2 linked regions of the Sus scrofa genome follow. Each later gene encodes a partner of the first gene's protein in a complex. Links are inferred from orthologs where the notes say so. Each region holds a gene or a part of one and is shown on either strand. Other genes may lie near its edges.

Evidence for each region.
Region 2: the proteins of DLG4 (region 1) and HTR2C are in contact, whole or in part, in an NMR structure (PDB 2MHO), measured with the Rattus norvegicus proteins. The link is inferred for Sus scrofa from reciprocal best matches to the Homo sapiens genes DLG4 and HTR2C. Residues at the interface, in NP_062567.1 of Rattus norvegicus: Gly74, Leu75, Phe77, Ser78, Ile79, Ala80, Asn85, Pro86, His87, Ile88, Thr97, Lys98, His130, Val134, Leu137, Lys138; in NP_036897.2 of Rattus norvegicus: Val452, Val453, Ser454, Glu455, Arg456, Ile457, Ser459, Val460.

Annotation. Positions count from the first base shown.
Region 1 is NC_010454.4:52,552,015-52,558,841, forward strand, and holds part of DLG4 (disks large homolog 4), read right to left. Parts: intron 4,896-6,827; coding exon 4,600-4,895; intron 4,483-4,599; coding exon 4,380-4,482; intron 4,243-4,379; coding exon 4,128-4,242; intron 2,638-4,127; coding exon 2,461-2,637; intron 2,188-2,460; coding exon 2,151-2,187; intron 2,057-2,150; coding exon 2,029-2,056; intron 1,899-2,028; coding exon 1,851-1,898; intron 1,776-1,850; coding exon 1,674-1,775; intron 1,369-1,673; coding exon 1,196-1,368; intron 271-1,195; coding exon 161-270; intron 1-160. UniProt on the Homo sapiens protein: Postsynaptic scaffolding protein that plays a critical role in synaptogenesis and synaptic plasticity by providing a platform for the postsynaptic clustering of crucial synaptic proteins.
Region 2 is NC_010461.5:94,191,717-94,198,543, reverse strand, and holds part of HTR2C (5-hydroxytryptamine (serotonin) receptor 2C, G protein-coupled), read right to left. Parts: intron 3,360-6,827; coding exon 3,046-3,359; intron 1-3,045. UniProt on the Homo sapiens protein: G-protein coupled receptor for 5-hydroxytryptamine (serotonin).

The sequences.
Region 1 (6,827 bases):
CTGCATCCTCTGGGTGCCAACTCCAGGTGCAGACCCCCCTCAAGGGCTGCTGGAGCCACTGTCCAGGGTTCTGAGGGAAGAGTTCAACGCAGAGGCCTTCTGAGGCCCAGGGCCACAGGTGCGGGGAGCAGAGGGGAGGCCCCCCCGGGACCATACTCACAGAACATTCTCCAGGGAGCGGGGGCGGATGAAGATGGCGATAGGATGCAGGTGGGCCGCCTGCAGCCGCCGCACGGCATTGGCCGAGACGTCGAGGATGCAGTGCTTCCCCTGGGGGGCGGGCAGGGCGGGCGGAGGGGGGCCAGCAGGTGGTGGGAAAGGACAGACAGAGGTGCCAGGACAGGACACAGTATGCCAGAAGGTGGGGAACGGCAGATTCACCAAAAGGGAAATGACATGGATGTCGAAAGACACGTGGGCAGAGAAAGTTGAGGCAAGAAAGGTACAGACAGACAGAGTGAGGGACAGAAAAGGAGGCCGGCAGACAGAGAGCAAGGGAGGGGCCAGCACAGGAGGGAGGGATTGGGGGAATGGGCAGAGGGGTGAGGAACAGGCAGGGAGGGGACCCAAAAGATGGGGCAGAGCAAGGCAAGAGCGGGGTGGCGTCGACAGGTTGGGGAGAAAGCCCAGAAGGAGAAGGGAAGTGGGGTGGAGGGAGGAGGGCCGGGAGGACGGACAGAGGACAGACAGATGGAAGGAACAAGGAGAAGCAGATGGAGGGAGGAGAGGCAGATGGAGAAAGAAGCCGTGGAGGGAGAGAGGGCAGGGTGGGGGCATGGGGAAGAAGGAGGTGGCAGAGGAGTGGGAGACGGGAGCCGGGACCCCAGGGACGGGCAGGGGGAGGGGAGAGGACCCGAGGGGAGCCGGCAGAAGGGAGGGCCCAGAGGGGGGAGGCCGGGCCATCAAGGCCGAGGCCACAGGAGGAGAGGCAAAAATGGGGCAAGGAGGAGGGGAGGGGAGGGGACAGATGGCAGCACGGAGTTTGGGGTCAGGAACCGAGGGAGGGAGGCGGGGGCGGGGCCCGGGAAAGCAGGCAGGCGACAGAGTTGCCCAGGAGGAGGAGGAGGTGGAGGAGCGGAGCGGAGACCCAGCAGGGAAAGAGACAGACAGAGAGAGAGAGAGAGTTAGAGACAGCTGGAGGAAGGCCACAGGGCAGGGAGAGGGAGGAGGAAGAGGACGGGCCGCCGGCTCCTACCTGCTCTGCCACCTCTCGCACGGACTGGACGCTGGTTCCATACAGGTGGCTGTTGTACTGGCCGGCCTCGATGAACTTGTGTGCCTGGATGTCCTTCTCCATTTTCTCCCGGGACGACACAAAGTGGTAATCCCGGCCATCTATCTCATACTCCCGCTTGGGCCGTGTCGTATCTGCCGGGAAGTCACCCCAGCCCCCAAAGAGCTAACCGCCATCCGTCTAGCTTCAGCCCTGCCTTCGGCGCAGCCCCAGATGCCGGCCGAGGGGGGCAGAGCTGCCTCCCCCCCACACCACCACCGCCGAGTCCTCCAAATCCCTGCCCTGGGATGGTCAGCCCAGGACGTGAGGGTGACTTGAGAAGCGCCCTTCTCCGAGAATCCTCATGTCCAGCTGCACCCCAATCAATGCCCAGAAGGGGCTCTGCCTGGGACCCCTGGGCCCCGCCCCCAGCCCCTCCATCCCAGGCCTGGGCACTCACGAGGGACACAGGATCCAAACTTGTCGGGGAACTCGGAGAGGAGATCGTCGTTGGCGCGGTCCTTGGTGGGCCCGAGGATGATGATGGGGCGAGCGTAGTGCACTGACGACAGAGGGCGGGATCAGGGGGGGCTGGGTGGGGGCGGGAGGGGCTGTGCAGGGGCGGCCCGGGGCTCACCTTCCATCTGTGTCACCGTCTCGTAGCTCAGAACCGAGTCTTCTCGACCTAGCGGGAGGCAGGGCGTCTGCAAGGGGCTCCGAGGCAGGGGACTCAGGGCCCCGCGCCACCTTCCTGAGGATGTCACGAGACACTCGGAGCCCTCTCACCTCAGCTCCTCCCAAACCGGCCCACCTACCCTGTGATCCGGAGCTGGAGCCCCAATCCTAGGAAGAAAGAGCAGGCCGTGCAGTTGGTCAGGAGTCCGGCCCTACAAGCCACCCCCCTCTTCCGCCCAAGCTCACGGCCTCCTCCACGTACCTTGGCCTTTAACCTTGACCACTCCCGTCGCTCAACCCTGTGGGATACATGTGGGATGGATGGGGTAGAGAAATGCCCAGGCAGGGGCCCGATGGCCCCCTAGGCCGGCGGACAGCCCCATCTCCCAGCAGCCCCTGGGCGTCTGCGCTCCTAAGGGAGCTGTCTGCCCCTAAGGCTCATGGGAGTCATGACGCCCTGCCCCCACCCCCACCCCCCGCAGACAGACCCCCAAGAAGTCAGAGGGCCCATGGCCTCCATCCTGGCTGCCCAGCCTGGGGACCTTGTGAGCTTCAGTGGCAGGAAGGCTCACCGTCGTTTGCTGGGGATAAAGCCAATGTCATCGGTCTCGCTGTCAGAGTGGACCCGCCGCGCCTGCCACCACTCCTCGTCACTGGCGTCGATGACATGCAATACGTCCCCAAAGCGGAAGCTCAGGGCCTGGCTCAGGAAGCCGCAGTCCTTGGTCTTGTCGTAGTCAAACAGGGCCCTGGAGGGCACACGGCCTTCGGTCAGAGACCGGTGGGGACCCTGGCCCCTGAGACCCATCCTGGAGGTGCTGCCCAGGGGCCTATAGACAAGCAGGGCTGCTGCCGGCTCTCCCACAGGTGCCGTGGATTCTGAGGGACCCAAGAACAGCGTGGGGACCAGAAGCTCTACCAAAACTCATAATCGCCACAACGGTGAACCGTCATCCAGTCCACGTTGTGTCGGGGATCAGGCTGTGGACTCAGTGACGTTTCTAGAGGAAGGTCTAGACCAGCACCTGCCCAAGAAAGCAGATGCAATATGCATGGGCCTCACAGCGCGGAGGACGCTGGAATCAAACTCACAAGGGAAAAAAAAAGATCGCTCTTGACAAACTCTGGGCACCCTCAGCCATGAGAAATTCCTCAAAGTCACAACCCCTGGGGTCAGGACAGAGGGAGGGAACGACAGCCGAGACAGCAGAGATGCTGAGCGAGCACGGGGGCTAGAAAGACGGGAGGAGACTCCAGGATCATCCAGCATCGTCTGGGAGTCAGAAGTGACCAGCCCCAGGGGCAAACTGGACCTCGCCATGAGGGGAGGGCCAAGCAAGGCCTAGGTGTTTTTTGTGGGGGTGTTTTGTTTTGTTTTGTTCGGCTGCACCCGGGGCATGGGCAAGTTCCCAGGCCAGGGATCGAAGCCGTGGCACAGCAGCAACCCGAGCCGCTGCGGTGATAACACCAGTTCCTCAACCCGCTGGACCACAGAGGAACTCCAGCAGGCTCTGGTTTGTCCCAGGTGCCCGGGCGGATGGCAGTGCCATTCAGAGAGAGAACACACACTGGCAGGACCGAGCGTACAGGGGAAAGAGGTGAGGCTCAGTTTGGGACGTGTTGAGTGCGAACGCCTGTGGGACGTCCTGAGGGACATGTCCAGAAAGCAGATGGCCGGAACCGCAGGTCTGGACCTCCGGGAAGAGGCCAGGCCAGAGCCGACAGTCTTGAGGGCCATCTGCAGGGCAAGTGACAGGTGAGGCCGAAGGGGGAGGATGGGAGCCCAGGGGGGAGGGGGGAGGATGCGGCGCCTGCACCTGATGAGGATGAGAAAGAGCAGCCCGCGGGCGGAGCAGCTCTAAGAAGGTAGCGGAAGGTCACCGGAGAGACGGGGGACAGTGCTGTGGTCCCCTCCCCTGGACTGTGTCCTCCCACAGGGCTGGGAGGACAAGAGCCCCTGCTCTGCTGCGTGTTAACCTCTGAGTGAGCAGAGTGGGAGGCAGCTGGGCGTCCTAGGGGAGGTGCCAGGGGGCCCAGGGGCTGGGAGGCGGTAGGGACACCTGAGCCAAGGCTGTTTTCCAACCGCTTGGCGTGTTGCAAAATGCTAACCCGCGCGGGAAGCCAGCTGAGTGTCAGGCCTGGGGATGGGGGCGTCAGGCAGGGTTTCGGGGACGAGCTGGCTGGGGGGTGAGGGGGGCACAGAATGAGAAGAACCCAGCCCGGGCGGGGGGCGTCTGACCTGATGTAGAAACCCCTTTTGGGGTTGCTCCGCAGGGAGGCAGTCCCTGAGCCCAGGCTGCTGTTCATGAGCTGCTCCCGAAGGTCGTGGATCTTGGCCTCGAATCGGCTGTACTCTACGAAAGGCCAAGAAGGTTCCTGAGCCCCGGCCCCACGGTCCTCGCCCCTCCCCGCCCCCCACGGACCCCAGGAGCCCCAGGGCTCTGAGGACCATCTCACCCCACAAGAGACGGGGGAGCGGCAGGCGCGGTACCTTCTGGCTTATACTGCGCGATGATGGTGACGGTCTGCCCCGCGTTCTTCAGGGCAATGGCAGCCTGCTCGTGGCTGGCATTGCGGAGGTCAACGCCATTGACCTAAGGGAGGAGGAGCGGCAGAGGCGCTGGAGGTGGGGACCAGGCGCCGGCCCACGAGGGCCCCGACGGGTGGGTTGGCGGGGGAGGAGGGCACGGGCCGGCCCGGCCTTCGCTCACCGAGAGGATCTGGTCCCCCTTCCGCAGCTCGCCGCTGAGGTCCGCCGGGCCCCCGGCCAGAATGAAGGAGATGAAGATGCCTTCACCGTCCTCGCCGCCCACAATGTTGAAGCCCAGGCCCGTGGAGCCCCGGTGAATCACGATCCGCCTCGGTTCCCGGGGAATGTCCTCCTCCCCGAGCAGGTCCTTGGCCACGGGGGAGTAGCGCCGAGGGGAGGTGGGGGTCATGGCTGTGGGGTAGTCGGTGCCCAGGTAGCTGCTGTGGCTGATCTCGTTGTCCAGGTGCTGGGAATAAGCTAAGGGAAGCCGTGGGCGAAAGGGTGAGATGGAAAAACACGGAGGGAGACGGCACCCATCAGCCCCGGCGCCACCCTGGGGCACCCGCAGTGCCAGACTCAGGGGAAGGGAGTCAGAGAAACTAGGCTGGCGTGGCTGGTGAAGGGGACAGCAGATCACAGCAACGTCAGGGGGCAGGAATTCATAGGTGACGTGGACAGTGGATATGAAAGGGATGTGCCAGGGAACAGGAGGTCAAGGGGAATGTTAATAGCAAGCTTTGGGGGGCTTCGTTTGGTTGCAGCATCTCTCAAACTTCACCTACAAAATTCCTCTCCCTGTCCCTTTCCCCCTCTTGGCCATTCATTTGCTGGAAAAAACTGGGTCACTCTAAGAGGTACCTCACTGCTCACATCCCTGCCCCTGGGGTGTTAACTGAGCCTCTGTTCCGTGTCTCCTGTGAACGGGTTATTGGCATAGAGACTCAAGTTCAATTTCTGGCAAGAATATGTCACAGGTGGTGCTGCCTGCTTTCTGCATCCCCACGGGATGTGATAACGTCTGGTTGTCTTTGGGGTGAGGTAAGAGGAACCCTAGGTCCGGGTATGGTCAGCCTGATCCATCCCGTATAAAGCGCCCCATCAGCCTTTCACATATGACTTGCAGCAGCCCCCGAGGATCACTGCCTGGTCCTGACAGTTCGCTGGGGACAGCAAAACAGCGAGCGCCACTTTTTTTGAGAGAGAGAGGAATTCGTCTATAAAAAAGAACGTCCCCCCATCAACCAGTAGGTTATTCGGAGGTGCAGTTTGTACAGGAAGGGAGAATAAATGCTTGATGCCTTCCCTTTCCCGATTTTCAGAATGAATTTTCAGTACTTCCTCCAGAGGTACTCGATTGTTTTGAAGTGTCCTTATGTCCCCGTAGATGTTAACACGCTTGTGATGAGTTTTGGCTGAATGGCCAGCTGCCATCTAGCTCCGGGGTCTGACAGGACCCTTGATGAGCTTCCTTGCTTACGGTATAAAGGATGCTACAAGCTCGCCTCGCCTTTTTTTTTTTTTTTTCTTTTTTTCTTTTTTAGGGCCACACCCGCGGCACTTGAAGGTTCCCTGGCTAGGGGTCGAATTGGAGCTGGAGCTGCCAGCCTACACCACAGCCACAGCAGCGCAGGATCCTTAAGCCACTGATGGAGGCCAGGGATGGAACCTGCATCCTCATGGATGCTAGTCAGATGCGTTAACCGCTAAACCACAATGCAAACGCCTCACCTCCCACATTTCTTGCTCAAGATTTGGGATGGGCCCTTTCTCTAGGCAGTCAAGGTTCCTTCTGCTAGGTAGTTAGGTAGTTAGAAACAAGACCATGTGTCTTTTGTTTGTTTGTTTTTTCCCCCTTTTTTGGCCACCCAGGTCAGGAATCGAATCTGAACTGGAGCTGCAACCTACACTGCAGCTATGGCAGCTATGGCAACGCTGGATCCTTAATCCACTGTATGGGGCCAGGGATTGAACCTACATCCCTGCTGCTACAGAGACACCATCTATCCACAGCAGGAACCATGTGATTTTAATACGGTTTTACAGTATGACTTCAGATTTGGATGAAGCAGTCACATCTCGTTATTCTTTTCCAAAAATTTCTTAGCTATTCTCCCAAATGTATTTTTCCAGCTGAACTTTAGAATCAACCTGCCAAGTTCGGCGGGGGGTGGGGTGGGGGGGAGAGCATTAAAATTCTGATTAGGATTGCATAAAACATAGAGATTAACTTGGAGAGGACTGAGAGCTTTAAGCATATTTTCATCCAGAAACACGATGTGACTCTCCAATCCTTCTTTTATGCCCTTCAGTAAAGTTTCATTTTTCATCATTTTCTTCATATAAATCGTACACACTTCTTGTCAAGTTTATTTTTCTAAGGATTTTATAGGGCTTTTTTTCTTTCTTCTT
Region 2 (6,827 bases), on another chromosome or scaffold:
CCTTGGTTAGATGAATCTCATCCACCATTCAATTTCTTAAGAAGGACTTACGGGTTCTGAACACTCTGAGTTTTAAAAATTTTAAACTTTTTATAGCCTAGATGGCCAGCTTGTCTGGATACAAGATCTTTGTTCCCAACTTTGTTTGACAATTTTTCCATTTTTAGATTTTAAGGTATAAAATTAATGCTTAAAAACTGCATACTAGAATACATAGTTTTTCAAGTTTTGAGAAATATATATATATAACCACTATTGCAATCAAGATATAGAACACTTCCATGCTACCAAAGTGAATGCCCCTTTGGAGTCAGCATTCCACCTTCAGACCTGGAAACTAATGTTTTGTTTCATGTCTATATAGCTTTGTTTTCAAAAGAATGTCCTATAAGTGGTTGACTTAAAAAACATATTGTTACACTGTTGCTTTGGCTTAATATTTTTTAAAATTATGAGGCAAGTATAATTATCATGACTTTGTAAATTATTTCTTATTTTTGCCTGGCATCCCAGAAGATTTTTCTATGTATTTAAAGTCCAATGTCTCAGATCAATCTCAGAGTTGACTGTTCCAGGACAAATTCTTGGTGAGCTGTATCATTGTACATTTAAACTCTTTTATTTTTGGAAAACTTTCCTGGATTATAGTTTTAAATATTAATTCTGTTCCATTTTTTTTTCCTTTTCAAGGATTCTCTTTATACATACATTGTAGTTTTTTTTTTTTTTTCTGGTCTTTGATATCACTTTCTGAACTCTTTTACTTCTTTCTTCATCTCGTTTTCATTCTTTTTGTTGTTTTTCCTGTTTTTCTTCAGTGCTTCTTATTAAGTTTTCATTTTTCTTCTTTAGGTACTTTTAATTTCCATTTCCAATATGATTTTATTTTTTCTTCTATTTTACTGTTCTATGTTCAATTAACTTTTGCTTTATGTTGACCAATTTTTTGGTCCATTTCTTTTTTTAGCTTTTAGACTTCTACTATAAGATATTTTTTTAAAAAAATATATCTTTAAATGTTTTAGAAAATTTCTCTTGGAGTATTTTGTTATAGCTTTATTTTTCAATCATTCTTTATTTGTGGGAATTTTAATCAAATGCCTTTTTTTTGATTTTCATGTTCTGCTTTATATGGATGAGGATTGGTTGCATTTTTTAATTTATATGACCATCGCGAGCAGTTTGTGGGTGGTTTCCAAGATTCCAAGCTCAAGAACATCCTCTTATCTTCACATAACCAAGTATGTTTTTTTATTGGAGGATTTTGGGGTACAGGGGAGGGCAGTGGGAGGGAAGTTTGATGGATTCTTACATGTTGACATTTTTTTTGTCTTGTAAGATGATAAAATTTCCCTTCTTGTCTCTTTTCCCCTTCACTGTGCATTTTTTTGTTCAAAAGTTACCTCTCCCTTTAATCTTTTTTTTTTACCTCCAAAGAGTTCCTTCTCCAACGTTGCTTTCTTGAGTCCTACACACACTTCTAGGCACTTGCCTAAAGGCTAAGCTTCCAGAGAAGTTTTTTTTAGAATTTTCACACTGGGATAGGCTTTCTTATGATGATTTTAGATCAGTCTTAGGCTTCCTACTAGCTTTCCTCCTCTCTCTTTCATTGTAGTATTTCCTAGACTGCCCTTCCTCTACACAACAGCATGTGGTGGGAGCCTAATAGATAGCTCATTGTGATCATCTATTTATTTTTCTGCTTACAGATAATTTGGAATTTGATTTGGATGTCATCCAAATTTGGTAGTGGTATTGTATAGTTTTATTCGTTTTTGTTGTTCTTTACTGCTTGTCACGGGGACGATGGATGTGTTAAGAGATTTGGATTTAGACTGATGCCATTTTTTTGACCACCCATATATTTTTAAGAGAGAAACTGGCAAAATGAAATAGACACCACAAGACAAAGTATACCTTCTAAGGCATATTCATTGCAGTGACCTTTTCATATATAATTTGGGGCTAGAATAAAATACTCACAGAGAAGGTCAAATACTTACATTTTGAGATTAATGCATCACTGAAACTCAATAGTAAGAAAAGCATATTTCCTGAGAATACTATTTATAAAATGCCTGTTGAGATGATCTATTACCACTGTGTATTTAGAATAGGATAATTAATTTTTAAGCTCCACAAGAGATTATTCCTAGGTTCAATGATCTTCTTTTAGGATTTGAGAACTTGATACACTTTCAGTATTAATCCTTCCAATCTAATCCCATTACACACTCCAGGGAACAGGGGGTTTTTTTCACTCCCTTATAAAATGAGCATTCAAACTGAGTTCTCCAACTTCCCAACAAAGATACTTTGTAGTTTAGTTTCAGTGGTTTTGACTGTTCTTTATAAATATTAACTAGAAACAAGTTAGGTTAAAATAAATAGGACAGAGAGATGGCAGAAAATTAAAAAAAAACCCTCTCTAAAATCATATATCAAAACCTTCAATGCTTGAATTTTTACTGTGATAATATGAATTTGTACTTAATATAATTAATAATCAGTTTGTTATCCCTGTCTCCTTGTAAAAACATGAATAGGAATAAGAAGAATAGCTGTTAAGTGCTTATTATGTGCCAAGCACTTAGTTTGCTAACATTGAAGAAAATTACTTAAAATATGTTTAGTAAAGATAATGAGCTTGTTTTATCTTCTTTATATAAAAGATGGTACTAGGTATGTGTACAGCCCAGAATGTAGGGGTAGGAATGTGTTTCTCTTACAGTCACAGTCTGTACATTGGAGGGCAACTTTTGTTTAGAAATGACACTGAGCAATAGAGTATCTACATCTAACTTTAATATATTATAAAGCCTTTGTTTTGCTTTTGGAAGACTCTGCTACTGATTTACATAATAAATATGATGCGCACATTCAATTACCTCTGTCACACAATTTTCTTTTTCCTTCATTTTTCAAATGCTACAGTAGAATAAATTTATGAATGTTCACTATGATACCTGATACAAATTTATGACACCACCTGAGATTTAAAAACTAATAAAAAAATAAAATAAAAACTAACAAAATTGTACTTACCATAAAGGATTGCAAGCAGAGACAGTGGCATGACAAGTAGTCCCACTAGCATATCAGCAATGGCTAGGGACATTAAGAAGTAATTGGTGGCATTGTGAAGTTTCTTTTCCAAGCTTACTGCCATGATGACGAGAATGTTGCCACCTATTGTCAAGATTATTATTATGACGATTGAAAGTGCTGGCCAGTTTTGTACCCCGTCTGGGAATTTGAAGCGTCCACCATCGGAGGTATTGAAAATGTCAGTTACTATAGCTGCTACTGGGCTCACAGAAATATCACATTGCCAAACCAATAGGCCAATCAGGTGCACACTGAAAATTAAGAAAAAAAAAAAGATCAGGTATATACTGTATTGTTGTACCTAATAAATTATTTATATAAAACAACTGCTTTTCCTTTAACAATCATTATTATTATCAACATCATTTCTACCCTCTTAGTTAAACTTCAGCATTTCTTCCTCCTGTCCCCAGAGTACTAACTTTCACTGAGTACTAAATATGAGTCAGGCACTTAGCTTATGGCAATATATATATATATACACACACATATATATATATATATATATACACACACACACACATATATATATATATATACACACATATATATATATATATACACACACATATATATATATATAATCTCATACAATGTCCTCAGGAGGTCAGTATCGATTTATAGCTATTATGTATATGGAGAGACTGAGGTTCAGAGAAGTTAAGTAACTTTCTTAAGGCAACACACCCAGTAAATTGCAGAGGCGGGGTCTGTACTCGGGTCCAGTGATTTTCAAAGCCTGTGTTTTAGACTTTTACTCTATGCAATTAATCTGAAAACACAGTTAATATTTGTGCTTTCAACTTTCCTTCTACCTGACCCTCTCTCCATTTCTATTCTAGGTTTTCTATTCTAGGCTAGAAAATGATTTATGGTAATTAATTCCTATGAGTTGTTGCTATCCTATGCTAGAAACGAAATCTCAAGTAATTTTATTTTATTATTATTATTTTTTTTTGTCTTTTTTTGCTATTTCTTTGGGCCGCTCCCACGGCATATGGAGGTTCCCGGGCTAGGGGTCGAATCGGAGCTGTAGTCACCAGCCTACGCCAGAGACACAGCAACGGTGGATCCGAGCCGCGTCTGCAACCTACACCACAGCTCACGGCAATGCCGGATCGTTAACCCACTGAGCAAGGGCAGGGACCGAACCCGCAACCTCATGGTTCCTGGTCGGATTCGTTAACCACTGCGCCACAACGGGAACTCCACTTAAGTCATTTTAAAATGTACATTTCTCTTGATGGTACTTGTGTAGATTCTCCTAGTAGGAATTTCAGGCCAAATGACTAATGTAAGAGAGGAGAACATGGTTATGTTTTTCATATCACTAATTAATTTCCCCTGATGGTGATATGAGATTTATTTAGGTTACGTACATTAGTGTAAGTGTCTAATAAAACCAACATTTATTTTCCTTAATAAAATAGACAAGCACATTCAATATTTACTGCTTAAAAGTAAGAATTATTATCTGTGAATGACTGTCTTATGTATATTCTATGTTCAGTAATGTTTATTTAATGAATATTAAGCAACAAGTACACTATATGTACTGGTTGTTAAACCCTAATATTATTTAGAGAGGAGAAAATTTCCTCTACTGCTACAATAGGTGCAAACCAATTTTCTGTGAAAGAAAATTGGATGAGGAGATGGAACAGATGACATTACAAAGCATCCACCATCGGAAGTATTGAAAATGTCATTTACTATAGCTCCTGACATTGAGTTCTCCATGTAAATATTATTTCATTATCTCATTCACTTGTTTTTTCAACTAAAAATATTATATCTTTACAGGGAAAATGTATGTGTGTATCAATCATCAAAGAAATGCAGTAGTAAAACTAGATGATTATGATTATTATAATTGTATCTATAACATTATACACACCTGTGTGCACATGCGTGTGCGCACACACACACACACACACACACACAACCCATACTTTTTTTTTTTTTTTTTTGCTTTTTAGGGCCAAACCCAGAGCATATGGAAGTTTCCAGGCTAGGGGTCGGAATTGATACTACAGCTGCCAGCCTACACCACAGCAACATGGGATCCAAGCTGTGTCTGTGACCTTACACCACAGTTCACAGTAATGCCGGATCCTTAACCCACTGAGTGAGGCCAGGGAGCTAACCCACATCCTCATGGATCCTAGTTGGGTTCAATTCTTCTGTGCCACAATAGGAACTCCCTACACCATACATACTTTCTGATCCAAAACTGTAACACTAAACCTGAAAATGTATTGGCATTATTTAAACTTAAGTAAGAATATCATAATTTTCTACCATATTTAAAAATTATCTCTCTTAATACTTGTTAATATACTATATGTTTTCTAAGATAATGGAGAAATTATAAAAAATATTTTTACTTTATTATTCTTCAAGACATAAAAACTAATACTTCAGACATTTAGCCTAATACTACTTCCTCATTAGTCAAAGCTATTGTTATCCTAAGCAACATTTTGTGGGGAGACATACACAGTAATTTTTTTTTCAAATAATGAGAAGTAATTATTAAATTCTTTTAGTTGCTGGATGTATTTTTCCCTGAGACATAAAAATAAGCTAAAATAACATATGGTTCAAAAATCTATATCATAATTATTCTGTGATTAAGAATAGAAAATTTATAAATAAAGGACCAGGAGTTCCTGTCATGGCTCAGTGAAAACAAATCTGACTAGCATCCATGAGGACGAAGACCTGATCCTTGGCTTGCTCAGTGGGTTAAGGATCCAGTGTTGCCATGAGCTGTGGTGTAGGTCACAGACACGGCTTGGATCCTGTTGCTACAGCTCTGATTCGACCCCTAGCCTGGGAACCTCCATATGCCGCGGGTGCACCCCTAAAAAGACAAAAAAAAAAAAAGAAAGAAAGAACCAAATAAAAAGAAGCATGTTATTTGCTTTCAGCTTTGATTATTCCATCACCATATTTGTTGCATTTGGCATATGGCCAAGGTCCTGGCTGTACGACTTCAATGATTTTTTTTTTTTTGACCAGTCACTTAACCTCTCAGAACATCAATTTCCTCATCTGTACAATGAGAGTGATCTTTACCACATTATTGTTGTGAAAATTGAATGATATATGTAAAGTCCTCAAAATAAGACCTTTGTCATATAAGGCACTCAATAAGTGTTGAAGCTTACCTTCTTTCTGCCTTCAAAGTTAAAGTATTTTATGGTAGCAATGCCCTAATGCAATGTACTTCAAAATTGATCAAGAATTTAAGTCCTGGTTTTAATTTAAGAAGGTACTTATATAGAACTGGACTCAAATAGTAACTTTAAATCAAAGGTCTTTCTTTTCTGGCCTAACTGATGAAAAACATGTTCTTCTGACATTAAAAAAAAAAAAATTCTGGAGTTCCCGTTGAGGTACAGTGCCTAGGAACCATGAGGTTGCAGGTTCAACCCCTGGCTTTGCTCAGTGGGTTAAAGATCCGGTGTTGCTGTGATCTGTGGTGTAGGTCGCAGACGTGGCTCGGATCCTGTGTTGCTGTGGCTCTGGTGTAGGCTGGTGGCTACAGCTCCGATTAGACCCCTAGCCTGGGACCCTCCATATGCCATGGTGTGACCCTAGAAAAAGACAAAAAAAAAAAAAAGTATTAAAAAAAATTCTGGTTTAAATTAGTTGATGATCATTTCAAGTAGTCACACAAAACTTTATGCTCACAATAATATGCTGGATCTCCA